Macaca fascicularis: one gene and its partner. Each later gene encodes a partner of the first gene's protein in a complex. Links are inferred from orthologs where the notes say so. Each region holds a gene or a part of one and is shown on either strand. Other genes may lie near its edges. The genes, in order: POLR3F and POLR3K.

The links.
Region 2: POLR3F (region 1) and POLR3K share a complex: the UniProt entries of both Homo sapiens proteins name them as parts of the RNA polymerase III complex. The link is inferred for Macaca fascicularis from reciprocal best matches to the Homo sapiens genes POLR3F and POLR3K.

What each region holds. Positions count from the first base shown.
Region 1 is NC_088384.1:68,810,930-68,814,743, reverse strand, and holds part of POLR3F (DNA-directed RNA polymerase III subunit RPC6), read left to right. Parts: intron 1-403; coding exon 404-471; intron 472-2,121; coding exon 2,122-2,234; intron 2,235-3,814. UniProt on the Homo sapiens protein: DNA-dependent RNA polymerase catalyzes the transcription of DNA into RNA using the four ribonucleoside triphosphates as substrates.
Region 2 is NC_088394.1:781,749-786,336, forward strand, and holds the start of POLR3K (DNA-directed RNA polymerase III subunit RPC10), read right to left. Parts: upstream 2,924-4,588; 5' UTR 2,872-2,923; coding exon 2,761-2,871; intron 340-2,760; coding exon 252-339; intron 1-251. Other genes in the region: SNRNP25 (U11/U12 small nuclear ribonucleoprotein 25 kDa protein), read left to right, coding at 3,198-3,341. UniProt on the Homo sapiens protein: Core component of RNA polymerase III (Pol III) which synthesizes small non-coding RNAs using the four ribonucleoside triphosphates as substrates. Can mediate Pol I proofreading of the nascent RNA transcript.

The DNA of each region.
Region 1 (3,814 bases):
GTCTCACGCTGTTGCCCAGGCTGGAGTGCAGTGGCGCGATCTCGGCTCACTGCAAGCTCCGCCTCCTGGGTTCACGCCATTCTCCTGCCTCAGCCTCCTGAGTAGCTAGGACTACAGGCGCCCGCCACCGCGCCCGGCTAATTTTTTGTATTTTTAGTAGAGACGGGGTTTCACTGTGGTCTCGATCTCCTGACCTTGTGATCCGCCCGCCTCGGCCTCCCAAAGTGCTGGGATTACAGGCTTGAGCCACCGCGCCCGGCCTGTCTCATTCTTTTTAAGGTAAGCCTTTCTTTTGGTAAATATGTCACTGTGGTGACCTTGTCTGTTAATTTTAAGTAGTGATATAGATTATTAGATTATCCTGTAGTCTTTACCTTATTAATTTTACTTTATTCCCCTGCAGTAAAATGAAGGGGTCAGATAACCAAGAAAAACTAGTATATCAAATCATAGAGGATGCAGGAAATAAAGGTAAGCATGTGAAGGATGAAGCAGAAAAAAACATTGTCTTTGGAGCTTAATATAGGGACCCAGATCTCAGCTTCCCAGGGTAGAGCTCGGTGAACAGAGTATGCTGAGGAAGGGAATAGAACATACAAATATAACATGCATGTGCCTGAAGGACACCCAAGAGTAAGGCCATTGTTGCCTTGAAAGACAAGAACTAGAGGGCTATGGCCAGGGATGGAAAAAGACTTCTGAATTCTGAGTCACATGAATGTATTATCTATTCAAAATAAATCACATTTAAGTTTTTTTTTAAAAAATCTGTACCTTCTAGCTATATGACCATGGACAAGTTACTTAAACTTTGTAAGCTTCAGTTTCTTCATCTTACCTATAAATTGTGGATGCTGACACCTCTCGTTTTTGCAAGGACCAAAAGGAAAGCCGGTGTCGTGTAGCAGTGTCTTAATGGATGTCCCTCTGCACTATAGTTCCTCTTCTACCCCCCTTGAAGAACTGTATCTAGATTGCAATCCTCAATTACAATAATTTAGGATCTATTTGAGTCATTGATAGTAGCTTGAAAAATTGAGATATAATCTGAAATTATATAACTAATTCTTATATTTATTAAAATTAACATTTTTAAAAATAGTCCTATGAGAAGGCCATTCTGCATATTTTTTTAATCTTCCTGTCTCATTATGCCACTACATTGGGAAGAAAATAAAGCAAAATGTTTACATACATTCCCTTTCCATATATAACACTTATTTCCTTCTTTGAAAAAGAAATCATTGCTTCTCACACAGGGCTTTTAGCAGCTATAAGAACCCTAGGCTTCCTTTTTCCATCTCACAAATACAATGTTGTATAAATAATGGATTACGTGCATGCAGACACTCATCTAAAGAGTGTTTTTGTCCCACTTGAGGATGGCAGTTGACCTTGACCCAAATTTAAGTTTGTATTTCACATTTACAATCTAAAATGAAAATATCAGAAAACAGAATTAAGGGTACGGATGATATAAGTTAATTCTGTTGCATCCATGATTCTTCCTTCCATTATAAAAATGTCCTTTTCATAATTTTTGTTTGTTTGTTTTTTGAGACGGAGTCTCGCTCTGTTGCGCAGACTGGAGTGCAATGGCGTGACCTTGGCTCACTGCAACCTCCGCCTCCCGGGTTCAAACAATTCTCGTGCCTCAGCCTCCCAAGTAGCTAGGAGTACAGGTGCACGCCACCAGGCCCCACTAATTATTTTTGCATTTTTAATAGGGACAGAGTTTCACCATGTTGGCCAGGCTGGTCTCAAACTCCTGAGCTCAAGTGATCCACCTGCCTCGGCCTCCCTAATTGCTGGGATTACAGGCATGAGCCACTGTGCCCGGCCCTTTCCATAAAATTTTTAAAAGTGTGCCACACTGGGATTCCAAGAAATTTCTGGTTAGAAATTATAAATCATTATAATAATAATAAATCTTATAAAGCATTAGACTTATTTATTGTTTGGCATACTTTTGCTACTTTAGCCAAGGTTCTTACCTCTAAGTCATTTCATTTTTACCGTTAGCTTTATACTGCTAGCTTTGGAATGAGATATGAGTTAGAGGAATAAAATTAAAAATCCATGAAAACATAGCTCAACTTATTTTACTTTACTTTCTCATAGGAATATGGAGCAGAGATATCCGCTATAAAAGTAATTTGCCATTAACAGAAATCAACAAAATCCTGAAGAATTTGGAAAGTAAAAAGCTTATCAAAGCTGTTAAGTCTGTGGCAGTGAGTAGTCCTTTCCTCAAATATCCACTTACATATGTTGCTCCAAGTTTGAATTCTTGAAGTTATGTCATGATTTAGAACAGCTGGTCCAAAAAGACTTAAAAATTTAGCTCATGTTGGATTGGTTTGGAGATACTGCTTAGACTTGTCCCTACACAGTTGGTTCTTGGTGTCTCACCCACCCAAAGATCTAAAACTACTTTACTGTCTTCAGTGAAGAATCTTTGGAACTGTGAACATTTTTCCTAGATTTTATGGTATATAGGATAATTTACTTTATCCCAACATACTAACTTTCTCATTCAACAAAGAGTATTTTCTGTGTGCCAGACACTGTTCTGAGTGCTTGGGATACATTAATGAACAAGTCGTAGAAAGATTCCTGCCTTGGTGGAGCTTCTCTTCTAGTACACGTGTGTTTTTCCTGCTCCTCATCCCGTCCCACTCCTGCTCCAGAGCTTGCTCCCTCAGGGACATCTGCCCCTAATCTCACTGATTTAGACATCAGAGGAGCTGAGATTCCCCTAGAATAAAGTTTGCTTCAATACACATTTCATAAGAATTAAAGCTATAATTCAAATTTTATAATTTCCAAGCTGTTAAGTCTGTGGCAGTGAGTAGACCTTTCCTCAAATATCCACTTACATATGTTGCTTCAAGTTTTTATTTTTGAATAAAACAAGAATTATAAGAACTGTAACATCAGTTATAAGAATTTGATGCTTATTAGTGATTTTATTTATCAAATATTTATGCTGTACCACTTCTCATTTAGAATAACATTTCCCTTCCACATTGTTTAATGGATAATTTCAAATATATATAAAGGTAGAAAAAATCATATAATAAATCCCTGTGTATCCATCACCTAGCCTCATTTTGCCAGTCTTCCTTCTACATCTTTATGTTTAATAACAGCTTTGCTGAAATATAATTCATCATTCATACCACAGAATTCATTCATCCTTTTAAAGTGTAAAATCTTTGGATTTACAGTCACTGGTTTTTACTATAATCTTAGAGTTGTGCAACTATCACCGCTGTCCTAATTTTAGAACATTTTCGTCACCCCCAAATGTGACCACTAGTATTTATTTCCCAGCCTCTCTTTCCACAGTCTCTAACAACGAATAGTTTATTTTCTGTCTTTATTATAGATTTGCCTATTCTGGACAGTTCCTATGAATGGAATAATAGAATATGTAGTTTTTTATGTATTACTACTTTGACTTAGCGTGATGTTTTCAAGGTTTATCCATATTGTACTTCATTCCTTCTTATTGCCAATTAAAATTCCATTGTACAGATGTATATCACCGTTTGTTCATTCATCCGTTGCTTAACTTCTGTGTCCTTTTAAGGGTTAAAATAATCTTAGATCTAAGTGTAAAGTGCAAAACTATAAAACTTTTAGAAGAAAACACAGAAAATCTACATGACCTTGGCTTTATTAATGAATTGTTGGACTACAACTCCAATAGTAGTCTATGAAAGAAAATGTTGATAAGTTGGAGTTTATCAAAATTTTTTGAAAACCTCGGCTTTGCAAGACATTGCTAAGAGAATGAAAGGACAAGTTA
Region 2 (4,588 bases), on another chromosome or scaffold:
ACCCAAGGAAGGTCCTACCACAGTACAAGGGCCTGAGGATCTAACATGGGCCTGTATGACTCCAAGGCTTGTACAAATATTGCTTGTGTAACAGATTACTAAACAGTAACAAATACTAATAAATTATTCAAAAACCATTTCTATTTTTAGAAACCTACATCATTTATATGACATCACAGACTCTGCCATGCAGTGGCATCAACAGCCTCATAATTATCCAGTTTAGCAACAGAAACAGTGTTCCCTCTTACCTGCAGTAGAGTCAACATTCTCCCAGGCAGCTGCTCCACCAAGCACATCATCCACTTCTTTCAGTTTTGGGTACTTCCGATTTGTTACCTAACAAAAACAACACTTCAGACTCCAGGTAACTGCATAGCACAAACCTGGGCTGCCAAACCTCGAATTTCAGGATTATATAAGAGTTCACTCTTCCCACAGTTTCCAACTCCAAACTCCCACAACACAGTACAAAATGTAGTAGCATGCAAACATTAAGACTGAGGTAGCACCAACATATTCTTTTTTTTGTTTTGTTTTGTTTTGTTTTTTGAGACGGAGTCTCGCTCTGTCGCCCAGGCTGGAGTGCAGTGGCGCGATCTCGGCTCACTGCAAGCTCCGCCTCCTGGGTTTACGCCATTCTCCTGCCTCAGCCTCCTGAGTAGCTGGGACTACAGGCGCCCGCCACCGCGCCCGGCTAATTTTTTGTATTTTTAGTAGAGACGGGGTTTCACCGTGGTCTCGATCTCCTGACCTTGTGATCCGCCCGCCTCGGCCTCCCAAAGTGCTGGGATTACAGGCGTGAGCCACCGCGCCCGGCGGTAGCACCAACATATTCTAACTTCTAAAAATAAAGGTATTCTGGCCAGACGTCGTGGCTCATGCCTGTAATCCCAGCACTTTGGGAGACCAAGGCAAGTGGATCACCTGAGGTCAGGAGTTCGAGACCAGCCTGGTCACCGTGGTGAAACCCCGTCTTTACCAAAAATACAAAAATTAGCTGGGGGGTGGTGGCAGGAGCCTGTAATCCCAGCTACTCAGGAAGCTAAGGCAGAAGAATTGTTTGAACCCGGGAGGCAGAGGTGGCAGTGAGCCGAGATTGCACCATTGCACTCCAGCCTGGGAAGCAAAGCCAGACTGTGTCTCAAAAAAAAAAAAAAAAAGCTGGGCACGGTGGCTCACGCCTGTAATCCCAGCACTTTGGGAGGCCAAGGCAGGCGGATCACAAGGTCAGGAGATCGAGACCATCCTGGCTAATACACGGGGAAAGCCTGTCCACTAAAAACACAAAAAAATTGGCCAGGCGTGGTGGCTCACACCTGTAATCCCAGCACTTTGGGAGGCCGAGGCGGGCGGATCACAAGGTCAGGAGATTGAGACCATCCTGGCTAACACGGTGAAACCCTGTCTCTACTAAAAATATTAAAAATTAGCCGGGCGTGGTGGTGGGCGCCTATAGTCCCAGCTACTAGGGAGGCTGAGGCAGGAGAATGGCGTGAACACGGGAGGCGAAGCTTGCAGTGAACCGAGATGGCGCCACTGCACTCCAGCCTGGGCGACAGAGGGAGACTCCGTCTCAAAAAAAAAAAAAAAAGTAAAAGTATTCTAAAAAGTAAAAAGAAAATATGTATTATCAAAGGAAAACAACAAGTTATAATAAAGCATGCATCATCTGCTTACTGAACACCTACTATATTCTAGGTTTCATTTTAGTTGTTCAGAATATAACATAGAAGGGAACAAAACGGAAAACCTCTGCCCTCCTAGACCTTAGGTCCTACTTTTTTTTTCTTTTTTTTGAAACGGAGTTTCACTCTTGTTGCCCAGGCTGGAGTGCAGTGGCGCGATCTTGGCTCACTGAAACCTCCGCCGCCCAAGTTCAAGCCATTCTCCTGCCTCGGTCTCCCGAATAGCTGGGATTACAGGCGCCTGCCACCATGCCCGGCTAATTTTTGTATTTTTAGTAGAGATGGGGTTTCATCATGTCAGTCAGGCTGGTCTCGAACTCCTAACCTCAAGTGATACACCCGCCTTGGCCTCCGAAAGTGCTGGGATTAGAGGCGTGAGCCACGGCGCCCGGCCAGGTCCTACTATTAATAAACAAAGCACACGATACATTACGTAATGTATTCGAAGGTAACAAGCCCTGTGGAAACAATTACAAAGGGAAGGAGGATACATTGGACGGAGGGGCTGCAATTTAAAATACGGTAAAGACAAGACCAATGAGTAAGGTGGCTATCTAGGGGAAGAGCGAAGTTAGTAACAGTAAGTGCAAAGGCCCTGCGAGCGCCATGTGCACAATGAGAGATCGTCCAGGAGGCTGGTGTTGATGGGGCAAAGGGCAATAGGACTTGAAATCGGAGAAGCAAGTCGGGGAGGGGGTCAGTGTCTGAACATGGTAGGCCCTGGAAGAATTCCAGCTTTTCGTCTGCACGAGCTGGGGAACGGCCGAAGGTTTCTGCGCACAGCACGGACCTACGTGCCTCAGCTTTAAGGGAATCGCCGTGGCCGCTGCTGTGAACGCAGAGGAGGGCGCAAGCGTGGGAGCAGGAACCCAAGGAGGCGGGAAACGGTGGGGCTTTCTGAGTGTGCTGGAGCCCACAGAAAGAGCCCACAGATCTGCTGCAGACCGGAAGGGGGAGCGAGAAAGAGCGGACAGAGGCAGACGCCGGGGCTGGCGGCGATGGCGCCGCAGTCGGAGGAAGGGGAAGGCCTGCGAGAGGCGCCCGCGGCCCAGCGCCGGCCTTCGGGTCCCACCTTGCGGGTGATGTTGTGCACGTAGGGGCACGTGTTGCAGGCGAAGCGGTGGCAGCGTTGTCCCTCCTCCACGATCAGCCCGTTCCCGCAGCCGGGGCAGAATAGCAGCATGGTCTCGAACTCCGCAGGCGCCAACCACCGGCAGCTCACACTGCCGCTCAGCGCCGACGCGCGGCCCGCCTCGAGCTTACATTGGTCCTGGCGGCCGCCTCGCCCCGCCCACCAACCAATAGACAGGGCGATTCTGCGCTCCCAGCCCTGCTGCTGGCTGTCTCGCACTTGTCATTGGTCACTGCAGCCGCCCCACCCCTCGGCGCACCAATGGCTGGGCGGCCTCGCTGGGACCGGCCGCAGTTCCTGCGCGTGCGCGCTTGGCCTCCCTAGTGCGTACTGGAAGTGCCGGCAGAGACCGGCTGAGAGGTGCTGCCCTGGAGGAGATGGAGGCCGCGGGTGGGTCCGAGGCGCAAGAGGAAGATGAGGACGAAGAAGAGGCGCTGCCGCACTCCGAGGCCATGGACGTGTTCCAGGAGGGTCTGGCTATGGTGGTGCAGGACCCGCTGCTCTGCGATCTGCCGATCCAGGTGTGTGCTGGCGGGGGCCAGGGGGGCGGGAGTCGTTCCCCGGGGGCCGGGCGTCCGGGCGCGCGCAGCCTCTGAAGGTGCTGGTGGGAGGCTGCGGCCCAAGGCTGAGGAAGGCGCCTCTGGGCGTAAACAAGGGTCTTTACCTTGGCCAGGCACACTCGCCTGCGGCGCGAAGTTTAAAGAGGAACCAAAACCCTCATTAGTGAGTGACATTAAATGAAATTTTAATGTAATTGTATTTAGGGGGCTGGGGGGACAGGGTCTTGCTCTGTCGCCCAGGCTGGAGTGCAGTGGAGCGATCTTGGCTCACTGCAGCCTGCACCTCCTGAGCTCAAGCCATCCTCCCACCTCAGCCTCCGGAGTAATTGGGACCACAGATGCGCGCCACCACACCCGGCTAATTTTTAAATTTTTTGTACAGAGGGAGTCCCACTATGTTGCCCAGGCTGGTGTCAAACTCCTGGGCTCAGGCGATTCTCCTACCTCAGCCTCCCAAAAAGCTGGGATTATAGGTGTGAGCCACCCACTCGGCCTGTAATAGCTTTAAAAGTCAAAGGTGATGCAAAAAAAAAAAAAAAAAAAAAAAAAACCCTACGATAAACGAAAAAACTTAGTTCCATTTGCCTCAAGCGTCAATATGCTTTGGCACGATACTTTTTATTTATTTGAGACTGAGTCTTGATTTGTCGCCAGGCTGGAGTGTAGTGGTGCGATCTTGGCTCACTGCAACCTCCCACTCCCAGGTTCACTACAGGAACACGGCACAACGCCCGGCTAATTTTTTGTATTTTAGTGGAGACGGGGTTTCACCATGTTGGCCAGGATGGTCTCAATCTCCTGATCTAGTGATCCGCTGGCCTCGGCCTCCCAAGTGCTGGGATTACAGGCGTGGACCACCGCACCCGGCCAGTTTTAAATGTTTTATATTTTGCTCATCATGGATATTTTAATTGCCTTGTATTTCTTAAATGTTGTATTAAAATATTTGTTATTACCGTTTTTTGTGTACACCTGCCTTACTCAGTCCTGGGCCCTGGCCTGGGTCCTGATGATCAGGGATACTCAGGGTGAACTGACAGGACCCCACCCACCCCTGGGGATGGATCCTCATGTGAGTTTATTCTCTTGCCTGTTTTTTAGCACCTCTTTCCCCCAGAGACTCTGTCCACTTTGGACATTAAAATGTGAGTGGAACATGAGATTGGGGCTCTGATGAATTGGGAAACTCTAACATATATGCAAGTACC